Linked DNA regions of Macaca mulatta. The protein of the gene in region 2 purifies or fractionates together with the protein of the main gene of each other region. This does not show direct contact. Links are inferred from orthologs where the notes say so. Each region holds a gene or a part of one and is shown on either strand. Other genes may lie near its edges.

Region 1 (7,577 bases), on a different chromosome or scaffold from region 2:
TTTTTGGAGGCTGACAAATTGAGGAGCTCTGGCTGACTAGATTTTGAAATTTGAGAAAGTCAACCTATTCTTGATAAGATTTTGTTTGTTTGTTTCAAGTTCCCTCGTCTAACCCGTAAAAAGATTTTAAAAAACAGAACACAGGAAATAATCCTTCACCTGACTTAAAAAAAATTCTTAGAATGTCACACCTTCGTTTCCTGTTTTCTATCTTCAATTTTGAGTACCTTTTTTTCTTGATATAACTTCAAACAGAAGTTATAAGAATAGCACAAGGAATTCGGGTACGCTGTATCCTTTACCCAGAGTCACTAATTCCTTCTGTTTTGTCCATCTGCTTTATCTTTCTCTATTTTTATAGATGTGCATTTTCCTGAGCCATTGAAAGATGGAACATACCCCTTTTACTTCCAAATACTTCAGTGTATAAAAACAAGATCATTTTCTTACATAACCCATAAGATATTTATCAAAAATAGGAAATTTAACATTGATATAATACTATTATCTAATACATAATTTGTCAAATGCATAATCTGGATTCAAATTTTGTCAGTTATCCTAATAACGTCTTAGCTATTTTCCTTCCTTTTTTTTTTTAGATTATTGTCAAATTATTTGTCTTTTGTCCCAAGATATCTATGTTTCTTTCTTTTTTCTTTTTTTAGAGACAGGGTCTCTGTCACCCAGGCTATAGTGCAGTGGTATGATTACCGCTCTGCTCCAACCATCACAAGACTCAACTGTTCCTCAGTTTACCAATCCAGGGAACTCCTGACTGGCCCAGCAGAATGGGCTGAACCAATATCCTCCAGCTCCTGTAAGCAAAAAGTCTGTGCTATTCCAGGTTTCCCATCATCTCTAGCACAACTGTAACTGCCGCTGGCTTCTGGCAAATTGTTTCTTCATGGAAATATCAAATGAGTGGAAAAACTCCAAGTAGCATGACCATCTGGTCCGCCACAACAAGCCTGTGACAAAAGTCATCTATCAAGGCAAAATGTCAAGCACATGGCATGGATCTTGCATTTTCTGTTCTGATCAGGAAAAGGCAAGTTTTTTCTCCTCCAGGATTAAAATAATAATTTTTCAAATTAATAGGCTTCCCAACTTGGTGAACATTTCAATATCTTAGCTAGAAGCACTTTTTACTTTTTGTGTGTGTTAAAAATGCTGGCAAGCAATACTGGAAGCAAACAAGTGCTCCATTATCAGCTCAACAAGCGTCCTGCTGAATAACCTTGGGAAAAATCACTTGCCTTTTCCGTATTTATAAAATGAACAAAATAAAATACATAAAATGTATAAAATATATAAAATAAACACAGGTGCTTTGGGCTACTAAGTTCCTTTTATAAATTTCTAAATTATAAATTTCAACTAAGTTAAAAAACAAAACGAAACACCTGGACTGGTGTGGTGGCTCATGCCTGTAATCCCAGCACTTCGGGAGGTGGAGGCAGGCGGGCTGCCAGAACTCCAGAGTTCAAGACCAGCCCGGGCAACATGGCAAAACCTCGTCTCTGCAAAAAAATACATGGTGCACGTCTGTAGTCTCAGCAACTCAGGAGGCTGCGGTGGGAGGCCTACTTCAGCCTGGGAGGCCAAGGCTGCAGTGAGCTGTGTTTGCACCACTGCACTCCAGCAGTGGGCAACAGAAGGAGAACTTACCTCAAAAAAAAAACAAAAGAAAAAGAAAACGAAAACAACGAAAAGCCACTTAGGACCATCAATGGGAAGTTCCAAACGGCTTTCACAAAGCCCTACCTTCTATTCTCTACTCATTTACCCCTTACAGGTAGAACTGTACTATTTTTTAGTAGCTGTGTGTAAGAAAAATTTGGTGCAACAGTAAAGTAAAACAGGTGAAAATCTGATTTTGTATTTTGTATGTTTCAGTGACCCATGTCCTGTTTTCACACATAACCTAGAATTAGTCCTGTTAAAATTGAGGTTCCACTCCACCAGGAATTTGTTAGCAAGAGACAGATAGAAATAAACAACCACCACCAGCCTACAAAACACATGAAAACAACAGGCTTTAAAGAATAACTGAAGTTGAGATATATAAGACTGACGCTATTTGTTGTGCTGGGTGTAATTCCTTTCCCCTGGATAGAACCTTTACATTCTAGGGAGAAAGTGGAGGCTGCTGTCCTACCTCCACCTTCTGTGGGGTTTTTTTCTAAGTAACAAATGGTGTTGAACTTCAGAGCTTCCATTATTTCACAGGCTTCAGGCTAATGGATTTCCGGTTCACACGACTTTTCATGTTTTAAGTCCTTCAATCAACAACTCTAACACCATACAAAATCTGCTCTTGTCTGTTACCTAATGTTCACATGTTTGAAACCTTTACAAACGTTGTATTTCAACAACAGGAAAAATCTTGTTTCCTAGAAAAGCACTGAAATCTGTTTCCAGGCTAAGAAAAAAGGTCTAGGCCGGGCGCAGTGGCTCATGCCTGTAATCCCAGCACTCTGGGAGGCAGAGGTGGACGGAAGGCTTGGGCCCAGGAGTTCAAGAACAGCCGGGCAACATGGTGAGACCCAATCTCTACAAAAAATTAGCCGGCACCTGCAGTCCCAGCTACTCGGGACGCTGAGAGGTGGGAGGATCGCTTGATCCTGGGAAGTTGAGGCTGCAGTGAGTTGTGTCTGCACCACTGCACTCCAGCCTGGGTGACAGAGCCAGGCCTATGCCTCAAAAAGAAGGAAAGGACAGGACAGGACAGGACACGAAAGGAAAGGAAAGGAAAAGAAAAGAAAAGAAAAAAGGCAAGGCTTGCCAATGCAGTAAAATGTAAAGCTGATGACCTGGCTAACGAAGAGACTCAGTTTTCAGGCTTTTCACAGTCTTTTTGCATGGAAAGCCCATTTCTAGAAGATCAATTTAAATCCCCACCAAAAAGAACACATTTGTGTGATGCATATCTAGCTCCTGAATTACGTGTTTACAGAGCTTAACATATTGAACTAAAGCCAATGAAACAGTCTTAGAACAAATTACATCGTATGTAATCACAGCTACCGATAAATCAATTGCTTCTTTTGCCAAATAGTACATCAGAGACTTCTATGAAAAGTTCAAATAAATGTGGTGTACTCGGTGGCTTCCAACAAGTGAAAGCGAGTATTTTTGGCTTTCAGCACTACAGGAAAACATCACTTTAAATAATCCTTGTTTGTATCTGAAACACGGATCTGGATTGCTTCCTACACTAGAATCCTAATCTCTAAAGGAGATGATCAGATTTTGCACGGAAGCTAGACGAAATCAACCTGGAACAGATCACTCCTGCCCTACCTGTCCAGGCGGCGGACAGAAGCAGACAGACAAGTTTCAAGAAGTTAGGGAGTCACTGATGCGATGGTGATCCACGCACCGTGGGGGCAGCGGGGCAAGGGAGAAAGACAGGGGGCTTCCACCTTCCAGGCGCCCATGCCGCTCCTGCCTTCAGAGGCAGGCTGGGCCTGTCGGCTTTTCAAAAAGTCAAACACTTGGTGGGAGAAAATCGTTGGTGGAGAAGACAAAACACTTTTGTTTTGTTTTCCGGGACACCACCCTCGAGGCTGCCAGACTAGACCCCACCAGGGAGAAGGGTGCGGCGGGAGGCGACGTCGCGCGCGGCAGCATCTCCGGGTCCCGCGGCTGGGGGCTCCCACCCCTCCCGGGCTTCTTGGGGTGGCTTCTTCCTTTTTTTTAACTTTTCACGCCCCCCGCCCCCGCCCCGCGCCCCACCCCCGCCCCGCGCTGGGTGCAGACCTGCTGGAGAGGGCGGGCGCCAAGGAGTCTCACCTGCACGCCCCGCCGCCGCAGGACCGGAGCCGGGAGGACGGCGGACGAGCCCTGGCGGCCCGACGGGTCTGCGGGGAGCCTGGGGCCGCGAGCTGCGAGACCTCCGAGAGCCTGGCAGGCGGCAGGCGGGGCCGAGGGCAAAGCCAGGAGCCGCGGGCAGCAGCAGCCTCGCCGCCACGCCCTCGACGCCGGAGAGAGCGGCCGCCTAGGCGCCGACTAGGGCGGTGTCCCGGCTGAGCGAGGCTGCCGGCGCCGCGCGCGCTCCCGGGCCCCTGCGCGCGCCCGCCTTGTCCCCTCCTGTTCTGGCAGGGCGCGCGCACGGCGGCGCAGGCGCCGGAGGCCCGGCCGAGGCCGGGGCCGGGGCGGGGGCGCGCGGGGGCCGGGGCGGGGGTGTCTCGCCGCGCGCGCCCTCCTTCCGCTCCTCCGGGTCCTTGGTTCCCAGCCTGTAGGGGGCTTGGGCTGTAGCGCTGGGGCGGGGGCTTTAGATCCCCCCAAAAACAGGACCTCTGGCGACCTTCTCGTTTTCCACCGGGAGCGGAGAGAGCCGATCTCCTTTTCCTGCTAGCCCCGTAGGACAGTCTCCGGAGCAGCTCATAGGAATATGACGAACGTTTACTCAGGGCTGGTTACTATGTACACTGCGCCCCGCGCGCGGCGAGTTTACCTCGGTTCACCTCCCGGCAACCGGCGGCCCGGATATTATCAGATGCGGGGGACTTGCCGGCGCCTTATTGCCCGAGGAGAGGCGGCCTCAAGTACCTGAGCTGGAGCTAGCACCAGGTGTGGGACGGCACAGGCTGGGTCCCGCCCTGGCGGGTACAACCCTCTTCCCCTTCCCCTCCTCTCCCCTCCTCCCCACTCGTGCTCTTCTCCCTCCTCCCGCTCTCCCTCCTCCTCTTACTCCTCTTCACCCTATGCCCTATCTACTGTTGTCGTACAATTCACATGTTTAATGCTTTCTTTTTCGTGTAAAAACCCTTCCATGCAGTCTTGCTTGCTTGTCTCCGACGCCCTAGGAGACCATGGGACATGATTACAACTATTAGGCAAAGGGAAGAGCCGGGGTCTAAACTGTTCAGCGCGTTTCAGTGGTAGAACCGAGGCTTACATTGGCAGGTATTATTATTACCAATAACAGCTATGATGACAAAGCGCCTGAGCACAGCTTGGAAGGCAGCTGATGTCTCCTCCCTTAGCCGGCAGAGAGGGAAGCAGGGTCACAGATCAGGGAAAATAACTGGGCTCAGCTCCCACCTGCAAGGACCCGCAGCTGCGCGGTGGTGCGCACCCATAGTCCCAGCAACTCAGGAGGCTGAGGCGGGAGGATCGGTTGAGGCCAGGAGTCTGAGACCAGCCTGGACAACATAGCAAGGCTCCGTCTCAAAAGAAAAAAAAAAGGAATGTGCAGTGCAGTTAGAAGAAAATCAGCTCTGATTACCCACTCAAGGCCTTTCAGAGGCAAAGTGAGGCACGGTGAAGGTTAACATCAAAGGCACTCAGTGCCTGCATCATGGGGCAGGAAGATGGACTAAAATGTGTACAGCACATCTAATCCCTGTTAGATGTAAACTGAGGAATCGGGGTTGGATTATGACCCCAAGGGCTCTCCAGCAGTTGAGCCCAGCACCGTCACAGAGGTATACCCAGCAGATCACCCTTCCTGCTTCCTGCTTGCTGCTTCTGTGGTTCCTGCTGCCTCCAACCCTGCTGCTCCTGCTCCCCATCTTGTCTTAACTAAGTTCTTCACTTTCATTCGTTTAACTAATGATGATTGCAAACTGCTTCTTTTGTCAAAGTCACCCTAAGGACTGCAGTAATTTTTTTTTTTCTCTAAATTCCTCTAACACAGCAACTTTTGCAAAAGTTGAGGGTTTTTTGTTTTGTTTTGTTTTGTTTTGTTTGTTTTGAGATGGGGTCTGCTCTGTTGCCTAGGCTGGAGTGCAGTGGCACAATCATAGCCTCAACCATCCAGGCTCAAGCGATCCTCCCACCTCAGCCTCCTGAGTAGCTGGGACTACAGGTACATGCCACCATGCCTGGTTAATTTTTCTATTTTTTGTAGAGACGAGGTCTCACTATGTTGCCCAGGCTGGTCTTGAACTCCTGAACTCAAGCAGTCCTCCTGCGTTGGCCTCCCAGAGTGCTGGGATTATAGGCATGAGCCATTGCACCTGGCCAAAACATTGAATTTTCACATGACATGAGATTGGAAACGGCTGCATTCCATAGCCCTGCCTGGAGATGTCTGATGCATGTTCACACACACACACACAAAATGGCCTTGAGAGATCCTAAGTCAAACAACCAGGTTAAGTTTGTTTAACTGAGTTTCCCTGAGGAATTAGGCCCTGTGCGGGTGTTGGGCTTGCATGGGTAAGGCCCATACAGATCTGCCACCTGAGGAGCCCACAGATAGGGGACACAGTGATTGTGACACAATTGTAGGTGTGCACTATTTGAGACGTTGGCGACGCGCTGACAAAGCAGAGGAAGAAGTGAGCAATCTACATGATGGGCCAGGGAATGGGGTTCACATTATCCGGTATTATTCAAGATTCTCTCTCTTTTTTTTTTTTTCATGGAATACATCACTCAGACTGGGTTAAGCAGCAAATGGAATGCATTGACTCACATAACAGAAAAGTTTGGGGCTTCAGGCATGGCTGGATTCAGGGGCTTAAACTACGACATCAGGATTAAGTCTTTTCTCTCCATTTCTTGACTCTATTTCCTGTTGACTTTTCATTCTTAGGCTTCCTTTTCCCCATGAGATGGCAGAATGGCTGCTTACAACTTCAAATCACACCCTTTCGAGCAGAAAGGGAGTTTCTTTTCCCTGATGCTGTCAACAAAAGTCCCAGGACTACATCTCATTGGTCTAACTTGTGTTACCCGTGCATCACTAAACCACTCTCCTGAGAAGGAGCATGGAACATTCTGACAGCTCCTCTCAAATCGCATGGGCTGAGATTTGGGGAGAGCTGGCTTCCTGTGCTAGATCATTTCTGTTGGCCCTTCCAGATCTACTCTCCACCCTTCTCCTTCCTGATTTGAGCCTCAAGAGGCCAACCTGCATGGACTGCTTCCACAGGTCCCTTGTCCTCTGACTTACAGTTGAATTCACCAAATAGAAGACATTGGAAATGAGACCGAAAGGTTGGAGGAGGAGGAATGTAAGGGTTTTATTCCTCTGGCCCCTGCCCTTCTGGGTTGCTGCAGGTTGGCAACATGCATTTATTGAAGCTTCTCTCAACTTGCCTTCTTCACACAGGTACTCTCTCCTAGTTCTAGTAAATTCTCCTTTCTCCACCTCCAGAATTATCCACCCTGGAGGTGATAATGGCTCCCCTCTGTTGCTTGCCACAGTGTATCACACCATCAGACCTGCTTTTTCCCTCAACCCTGCCCACACATCTGTATGGAACCTTTACTAAACCCTCTTTAGATTAATCATCTGCTGGGATGCTGATGGTTACATTCACCAAAGGAGATTCAAGTTTCTATTACCAAAAGAAAGGGGAATGAATCAAGGGCAGGCAACAGCACTACTGTAGTGATACTGGTTTGGAAGAAGTATCACAAGTGCAGACCAGAGATGACTGTGGCTTGGACAGGGTCGTGATGGGGGAAGCAATGAGAAATGGTAGGATTCTGGCTATATCTCAGAGGCAGTGTTAACACAGTTTACTGAGGAATTATATGTAAATTATGAGTGGTAGAGAGGAGCTGAGGATGGAAGCAGTTGGAAAACATGCATCTGGAGCCTAGGAGTGAGCTCA
Region 2 (6,980 bases):
AACTGTTCTGAATTCGATGTCTAATTTACTCTCAAAATGCCTTTAATCCACACTGTAATGACAGACATCCTTACCGAAGAATTGAAAAGACCCGTGCCATCTTCCCAATGGCTCTGATCTTACTCCTGATGATCTCCTTACGAACTGTAGTGCTTCCTTAGAGAATACAAAGAATAAGTAAGTTAAAGGGATGTGTTAATAGGCTGCCTTTAAAAAATTCAGGATGAAGTGTCTTAAGTTAAAGAAACAATTGTTTTTAAAAAACAGAAATGAAGGCTTAAGTTTGTTTAAACAAACAAAAATCTCAGGAAGTTCTAAGGAGCAAGAGAAAAAATGACCCAGAAGGTAAAAAGATGAAGTAAAAATGAGAGGCCACAAAAGAGACAGACTGGGTGGATCTATGAGAGGTGGGAACTTATTTGTGGTTGTGAAACGTAGAACACAGCAAAGAATGAAACACACACATACATAAACAAACCTCACCAAGAAAGCTGCTACAGCAAAGATGTCTTTTGACAATGCTGTGGGCCACCTTAGGGTGCGGGGTTTGGCCTGCCAAATGGCAAGTGATCATTCCAGCAGCTGTCTTCTGTACGTAAACACAACACCCAGCTAGCTCTCCTGAACTTAGTGAGTGCTGCTTTCATTCTATAATCTTCACTTACATTAGTGAATTATTGCCTCACAATACTACTTACAACCGTGCACTATTTTAAAAAGCAACAACAGAAAAAGTTAACGCGAGACTTTATGGCTTTTTCTTATCTAGGATTCTGAAAATAGCCCACAAATGAGAAGCCAAGGTCTAGCATGCACCAGGTATCTACAGTCAAAAGTCAGAAAAAGAAACATGGCCTCTCCTTCCTCACATCCAACCCTCAACACCCTGCCGGATCATGCAAGAGGTCCAGAGAAAACATACACATTAAAACTGAAGGGGAGGATGGAGAGCCTTTCTGAAATTATTTAACTACCAATTTTAAAAGTCTAACCAATAGACAACTGTGGTGGGACAGAGAGTAAGCATTAAGCTCTTAGCACAGTTTAGTCGGATACCTTTCTGATAGCTTGGAATGTAGTGATCTTCAGGGAGAAGAGACACCAAGAAACAAGGAGATGAAGACAGAAATATGAGAAGAGAAATTTATGTTTACATGGAAAAGAGAAAAAAAAAATCAAAGTGAAATGCAATGAGAGAAACAGGCTATTATCTTTACCAGCTCATAAGAGATATCCTTGGAATCATGATGCAACATTAAATTACAAATTTATTTTGTCAGTAGTTTCTTCCATTTCTTAAAAGTTTATGGTTTTACATTAATTCACATCTATGAGCATCCAACATTTTCTACCCCCACACATCATGAAAATAACATTAAATAAAGATATAATTTGTGGAATAAATGATGGCAAAAACAAGGAACAAAAACGGAGGACAGAACAGTTAACAAATCTCTTTGTAGGAATAGCATGTTTTTTTGTTTAATGGATTCTACAGCTTCACGGCTTCTTTTTCAGGGGATATAATCATTCTTCCCTTTTTTTCTTTTTTGTTTTTTTTTTTTGAGATGGAGTCTTGCTCTGTCGCCAGGCTGGAGTGCAGTGGTGCGATCTTGGCTCACTGCAACCTCCACCTCTCAGGTTCAAGCAATTCTCCTACCTCAGCCTCCTGAGTAGCTGGGACTACAGACACGCGCCGCCACATCCAGCTAAATTTTGTGTTTTTAGTAGAGATGGGGTTTCACCACATTGGCAAGGATGGTCTCGATCTCTTGACCTCATGATCCACCTGCCTCGGCCTCCCAGAGTGCTGGGATTACAGGCGTGAGCCACTGTGCCCAGCCCATTCTTCCTTTTTATTTATTTATTTATTTATTTTTATGTTTGTGGTGGTAAAGAATAGGAAATACATGTGTTTTTGTTTGTTCGTTTGGTTTTTTGAAACAGGGTCTTCCTCTGTTGCCAGGCTAGAGTGCAGTGGCAAGATCTCGGCTCACTGCAACCTCTGCCTCTCAGGTTCAAGTAATCCTCCCACCTCACGCCCCCAAGTAGCTGGGACCAGAGGCACTCGCCACCACATCTGGCTGATTTCTGCATTTTCAGTAGAGATGGGGTTTCACCATGTTGCTCAAGGGGATATTCGGTTTTTCTTTTGTTTTTCACTTGGCTGCACTACTTCCTCAAGAAGAACTGGTTCCTTATAGTGATCTCCTATACCATAAATAAATACACTCGCAAGCTATCTTCCATATGCTGTTGATTTTCAGTGCAGAACCTGAAGCATGAGAGTGTACGGTAATTTCCTCTAGATTCCCAAAGGGAATTCTGTTTTCTCCATGATGGAGATGGTTTATCCTCACAGTTAAGGGAACCAACTTAGCACAGAGCCTGGATAGGATGAGGCCGGTTTGTGCTTGGGTAACCACCACTTTTCCAGAATCTCTTGCATTCTCAGACAAGTCAGGACCTACCTTTACAATCAAACCTCCCACAGCACACTAGGAAAAAAGTACTTGGCTACATATATAATAAAATGTTACTGAATAAAAAGATTCCTCACACGCCAATAAGAACAAAAAACAAAATGGGGTTGGGCGTGGTGGCTCATGCCTGTAATCCCAGCACTTTGGGAGACCCAGGCAGGCAGACCACTTTGAGCTCAGGAGTTCGAGACTAGCCCGGGCAACATGGTGAAACCCCATCTATACTAAAAACACAAAAATTAGCTGGTCGTGGTGGCACGCGCCTGTAATCCCAGCTACTTACAAGGCTGAGGCAGGAGAATCACTTGAACCCGGGAGGTGAAGGTTGCAGTGAGCCAAGATCGCGCCACTGCACTCCATCCTGGGTGACAGAACAACACTCTGTCTCAAAAAAAAAAAAAAAGGATACAAGATATGAATTGACAAGTCACAAAAGAGAGATAAACATGACCAATAAACACAAGAAAAAATTGTCCATTAGTCTCATAAAAATATAAAGTTTTAATTAAAAACTTAATAACACCAGACTATAATGAGTATCATAAAGAGTATTGGAGACCGCACTGTGACTATACACCCTGCAAAATGTAAAGTGGTACAGCCTTTCTAGAGGCTGTATCAGAAATTTCTATCTGTATCAGAATTGAAATTTTAAGTACTAATTGACACAGATATTCAATTTCTAGAAATTCATCCTATGGAAATAAGGAGTGTTATTCTTGATTTTCTAATATTGCTTTACTTCCTTTCATCTGACATATTTATTTACTGTTTTTCCTCCCTGCACTAGCAAATAAGCTTATTGAGAGCAAGGACCTAAACAGTACAGTACTTGGTATATATCAACCATGTAATAAATATTGGTTAATAGAATGTGTACATTTTTATCTATACAAATTTTCAAAACTATATGGGTTTTGTCAGCAAAAACTTTGGAAAACCTCCAATATCTAACACCACTGGGATTAGATAAAACATTGATCAGCATGGACAACTACAGATCCATTAGAAATTAGTCTACAAGAAACTCCACAAAAACAGTAAGTGTACTAGATCTTATTACATGACCTCATTCTCATTAAAAAGAAAAAAAACAGAGGAAAGCTATGTGCAGAGATAAAAGACAGCTAACACAGTATACATTAAGATGTTAACTGTGGATATCTATAAGATGATGGGATTATGGGTGACTTTTTTTCCTTATTTATGGTTTCTCGTATTTTTCAAATTTTATTTTTCCACAATGAACTAAATTTATTTTTAATATGACAAAGAAAATCATTCAAAATAAACTAAAACAACTAAAACCAAAACCGAACCTCTCCCTAGTTTTAGTTTAGAGGAGGAAAACTTTACCTTCCGCTTCATCATCAGAAATCAGTTCGTCATCAGAGCATATGTTGAGCACATTTACCAGCATCTCTGTGACTACGTAAAACAAAATAATCCAAAATTTATGCAATTAATGAGGTATTTTCTCTAAAATAATGTGTATATCTAAATAAACACACGTTAAGTAAGCATGAACAAAAATTATTTATCATTATGTTAGTAACAATAGCTATAAAAAGTAGCATAAACGTAAACTTTCAGATTTAAAAAGAATTTAGGTAGATTACTTGCTCCGGTACAAGTTTGGAGTCTTTGAAGATCTATTGCATAACTACTTGATTTTACTGAGTTGCTGTTCAGAGCTTCTTCCCATACTGATACACACGTGATAAAATTTTTTCCCATTTTACAAAGTTAAGCCAACAGGCCTACATCCAACAGGCTTAGCTTATGTGAGTAGTTGTACAAATAAAATTGTAAGGACAATAAATTCTGTTTAAATCTCTTCAGTAGTGAAGAAATCTGAGGCAATGACAAGTAACTATGTTGTTTTATCATCTTGATCATAGTAGGTCAGCTACTTTAAATTGATATTTACAGTAAGAAAACCATAATGTATGAAAATTTAAGAACCAATTACATGCCATTTACAAATCTATGTAGAGGCTGCGCACAGTGGCTCACACCTGTAATCCCAGCACTTTGGGAGGCTGAGGAGAGCGGATCACTTGAGGTCAGGAGTTTGAGACCAGCCTGGCCAATATGGTGAAACCCTGTATCTACTAAAATACAAAAATTAGCCGGGCGCAGGGGCACATGCCTATAATCCCAGCTCCTCGGGAGGCTGAGGCAGGAGAATCGCTTGAACCCAGGAGGTGGAGGTTGTAGTTAGCCAAGATTGTGCCACTGCACTCCAGCCTGGGTGACAGAGCGAGACTCTGTCTCAAAAAAAAAAAAAAAAAAAAAAAATCTAAGTAGAGAACAAACAAAATTAGAAAACATTTCTGAACCTTGCGGGGGCTCATGCAAATATAAGGTGTGCTCAGTCACCAAACAACTGACGAGACACATGCTTTAGTTCTCTTACCTTTTTCCCCAACAAAAGGCAAAGACCATGTGAAAACATCCATAAAGTTTGGAAGCCAGTAGGGGTGTGGAGAACAATTAAACTGCCTGATATTCATGACATTGTTTTCATATTTCAACACAGCAGCTAAAAAGGAAAAAAGCAAGAAAATCTGGCACAGAGGAACATGGCATGGCAACTGATATGCTTTGTACAGCTGTGTACCTGCTACACAGAATTCGAGAACTTTCCATTTGTAAAGTCAGGACTTGACTAGGTAAAGCGCAAATGGAAAATTTTAAAGCCTTTTATTTAGTTCATTCTCTTAAGAGTTATTCCAAGGAACAAAGTCACCTGAAGAGCTCATATAATAAAAGTACAAAAGAAACTGAAACTTTGGAGTCACTGCACAGTAACTATCTATATAACCCTCAAGATCCACGAAGAAAATTTCCCCACAATTTCCTTTTATAGGCCAAATGGTTATAATTACAACTCTCCTTTGAAGGCAAATATCACTCATTAAACGGCCACAGCCTGTTTTGCTAGTCATTAGCCTGAGTTAAATATTGTATACACTCTCTGGGAGTTTATATAGTGCAGTTACCAACTCATACTGGAAGATACAAAAGGCAAACTTGGAGCAATTTACAATTAAATGTTCAAAATTAGATTAAATCATCTCTGTATTCAATATAGTGGATTTTAAAATTGCCGATTTCTCCAATACACAGCAGTATATGGCCAGCATGCTATGTTTAATATTAACCGTTCAGATAGTTGCACACATACTTTGATGCCAAACTGATTTTCTTTATATTTTGAAAGTCTTAAAATCCAATTCCTTAGCCTCTATCACCAGCAATGTTGTTTGCACTATTCTCTTAATTATTCCGTGGTCATGAAATAAAATAGGGTATAACAGTTCTCTAGAAATGACAGATATAGGTCACGTCCTCGTTTCTGTTTCTTTGTTATAGGACAATCTAGTGTTCTTAAAATTTGTTATTGAATGTCTAAAATGCACACCATAGATTATTAAGAAAATAAATTAAAATATAATCTCTAGCTCTTAAAAAGCCTAACACTGGCTATGATGCACACGTTCCATTATTTTCACGTGTATGTATTTATTTAGTTTAGGTAAATACGTCATATATCATTATTCAACAACTCCCTCAATTTCTACACAGGAAAAAGAAGTGGGAGGTGAGTCTCAACAGTGAATGACTGGAAACAAGAGTTTATAAAACTGCTTTTGGGGCCGGGCGCAGTGGCTCACGCCTGTAATCCCAGCACTTTGGGAGGCCGAGGCAGGCGGATCACGAGGTCAGGAGATCGAGACCATCCTGGCTAACACAGTGAAACCCCGTCTCTACTAAAAATAATACAAAAAATTAGCTGGGCGAGGTGGCGGGCGCCTGTAGTCCCAGCTACTCAGGAGGCTGAGGCAGGAGAATGGCGTGAACCCGGGAGGCGGAGCTTGCAGTGAGCAGAGACGGTGCGTCACTGCACTCCAGCCTGGGCGACAGAGCGAGACTCTGTCTCAAAAAAACAAAAACAAAAACAAAACTGCCTTTGGGTGTGTTCCCAGTGGACAGAAGAAAACAAGAAGAATCTTTAAAAATCATGATTAAAGGTCTTTTGTGTAACCAGTGGAACTAAGAAATACCTGTAGATACCAAGAAGTCTAAAGAATATGAGTACTCCTAGCACTTTGGGAGGCTGACGCGGGCGGACTGCCTAAGCTCAGGAGATCGAGCCCAGCCTGGGCAATGTGGTGAAACCCCGTCTCTACTAAAATACAAAAAATTAGCCAGGCATGGCGATGTGCACCTGTAGTCCCAGCTACTCGGGAGGCTGAGGTGGGACAATTGCTTGAACCCCGGAGGCAGAGGTTGCAGTGAGCCAAGACCGCACCACTGCACTCTAGCGTGGGCAACAGAGCGAGACTCTGTCTCTGGGGAAAAAAAAAATATATATATATATATATATATGAAAGAGGGCAGGTGTGGTGGCACACACCTGTAATACCAGCACTTTGGGAGGCAGAGGCAGGAGGATTGCTTAAGTTCAGGAGTTTGAGACCAGCCTGGGCA

Evidence for each region. Proteins that work in one complex are often made in the same cells at the same time.
Region 1: the proteins of PPP3CC (region 2) and RCAN3 purify together in Homo sapiens (affinity purification with mass spectrometry; 3 studies listed by BioGRID and IntAct, counting the BioPlex papers as one, with this or other methods). This does not show direct contact. The link is inferred for Macaca mulatta from reciprocal best matches to the Homo sapiens genes PPP3CC and RCAN3.

Annotation. Positions count from the first base shown.
Region 1 is NC_133406.1:216,460,764-216,468,340, forward strand, and holds the start of RCAN3 (calcipressin-3), read right to left. Parts: upstream 4,062-7,577; 5' UTR 3,766-4,061; intron 1-3,765.
Region 2 is NC_133413.1:24,189,981-24,196,960, reverse strand, and holds part of PPP3CC (serine/threonine-protein phosphatase 2B catalytic subunit gamma isoform), read right to left. Parts: intron 5,029-6,980; coding exon 4,903-5,028; intron 3,912-4,902; coding exon 3,840-3,911; intron 1,084-3,839; coding exon 1,057-1,083; intron 157-1,056; coding exon 75-156; intron 1-74. UniProt on the Homo sapiens protein: Calcium-dependent, calmodulin-stimulated protein phosphatase which plays an essential role in the transduction of intracellular Ca(2+)-mediated signals. Dephosphorylates and activates transcription factor NFATC1.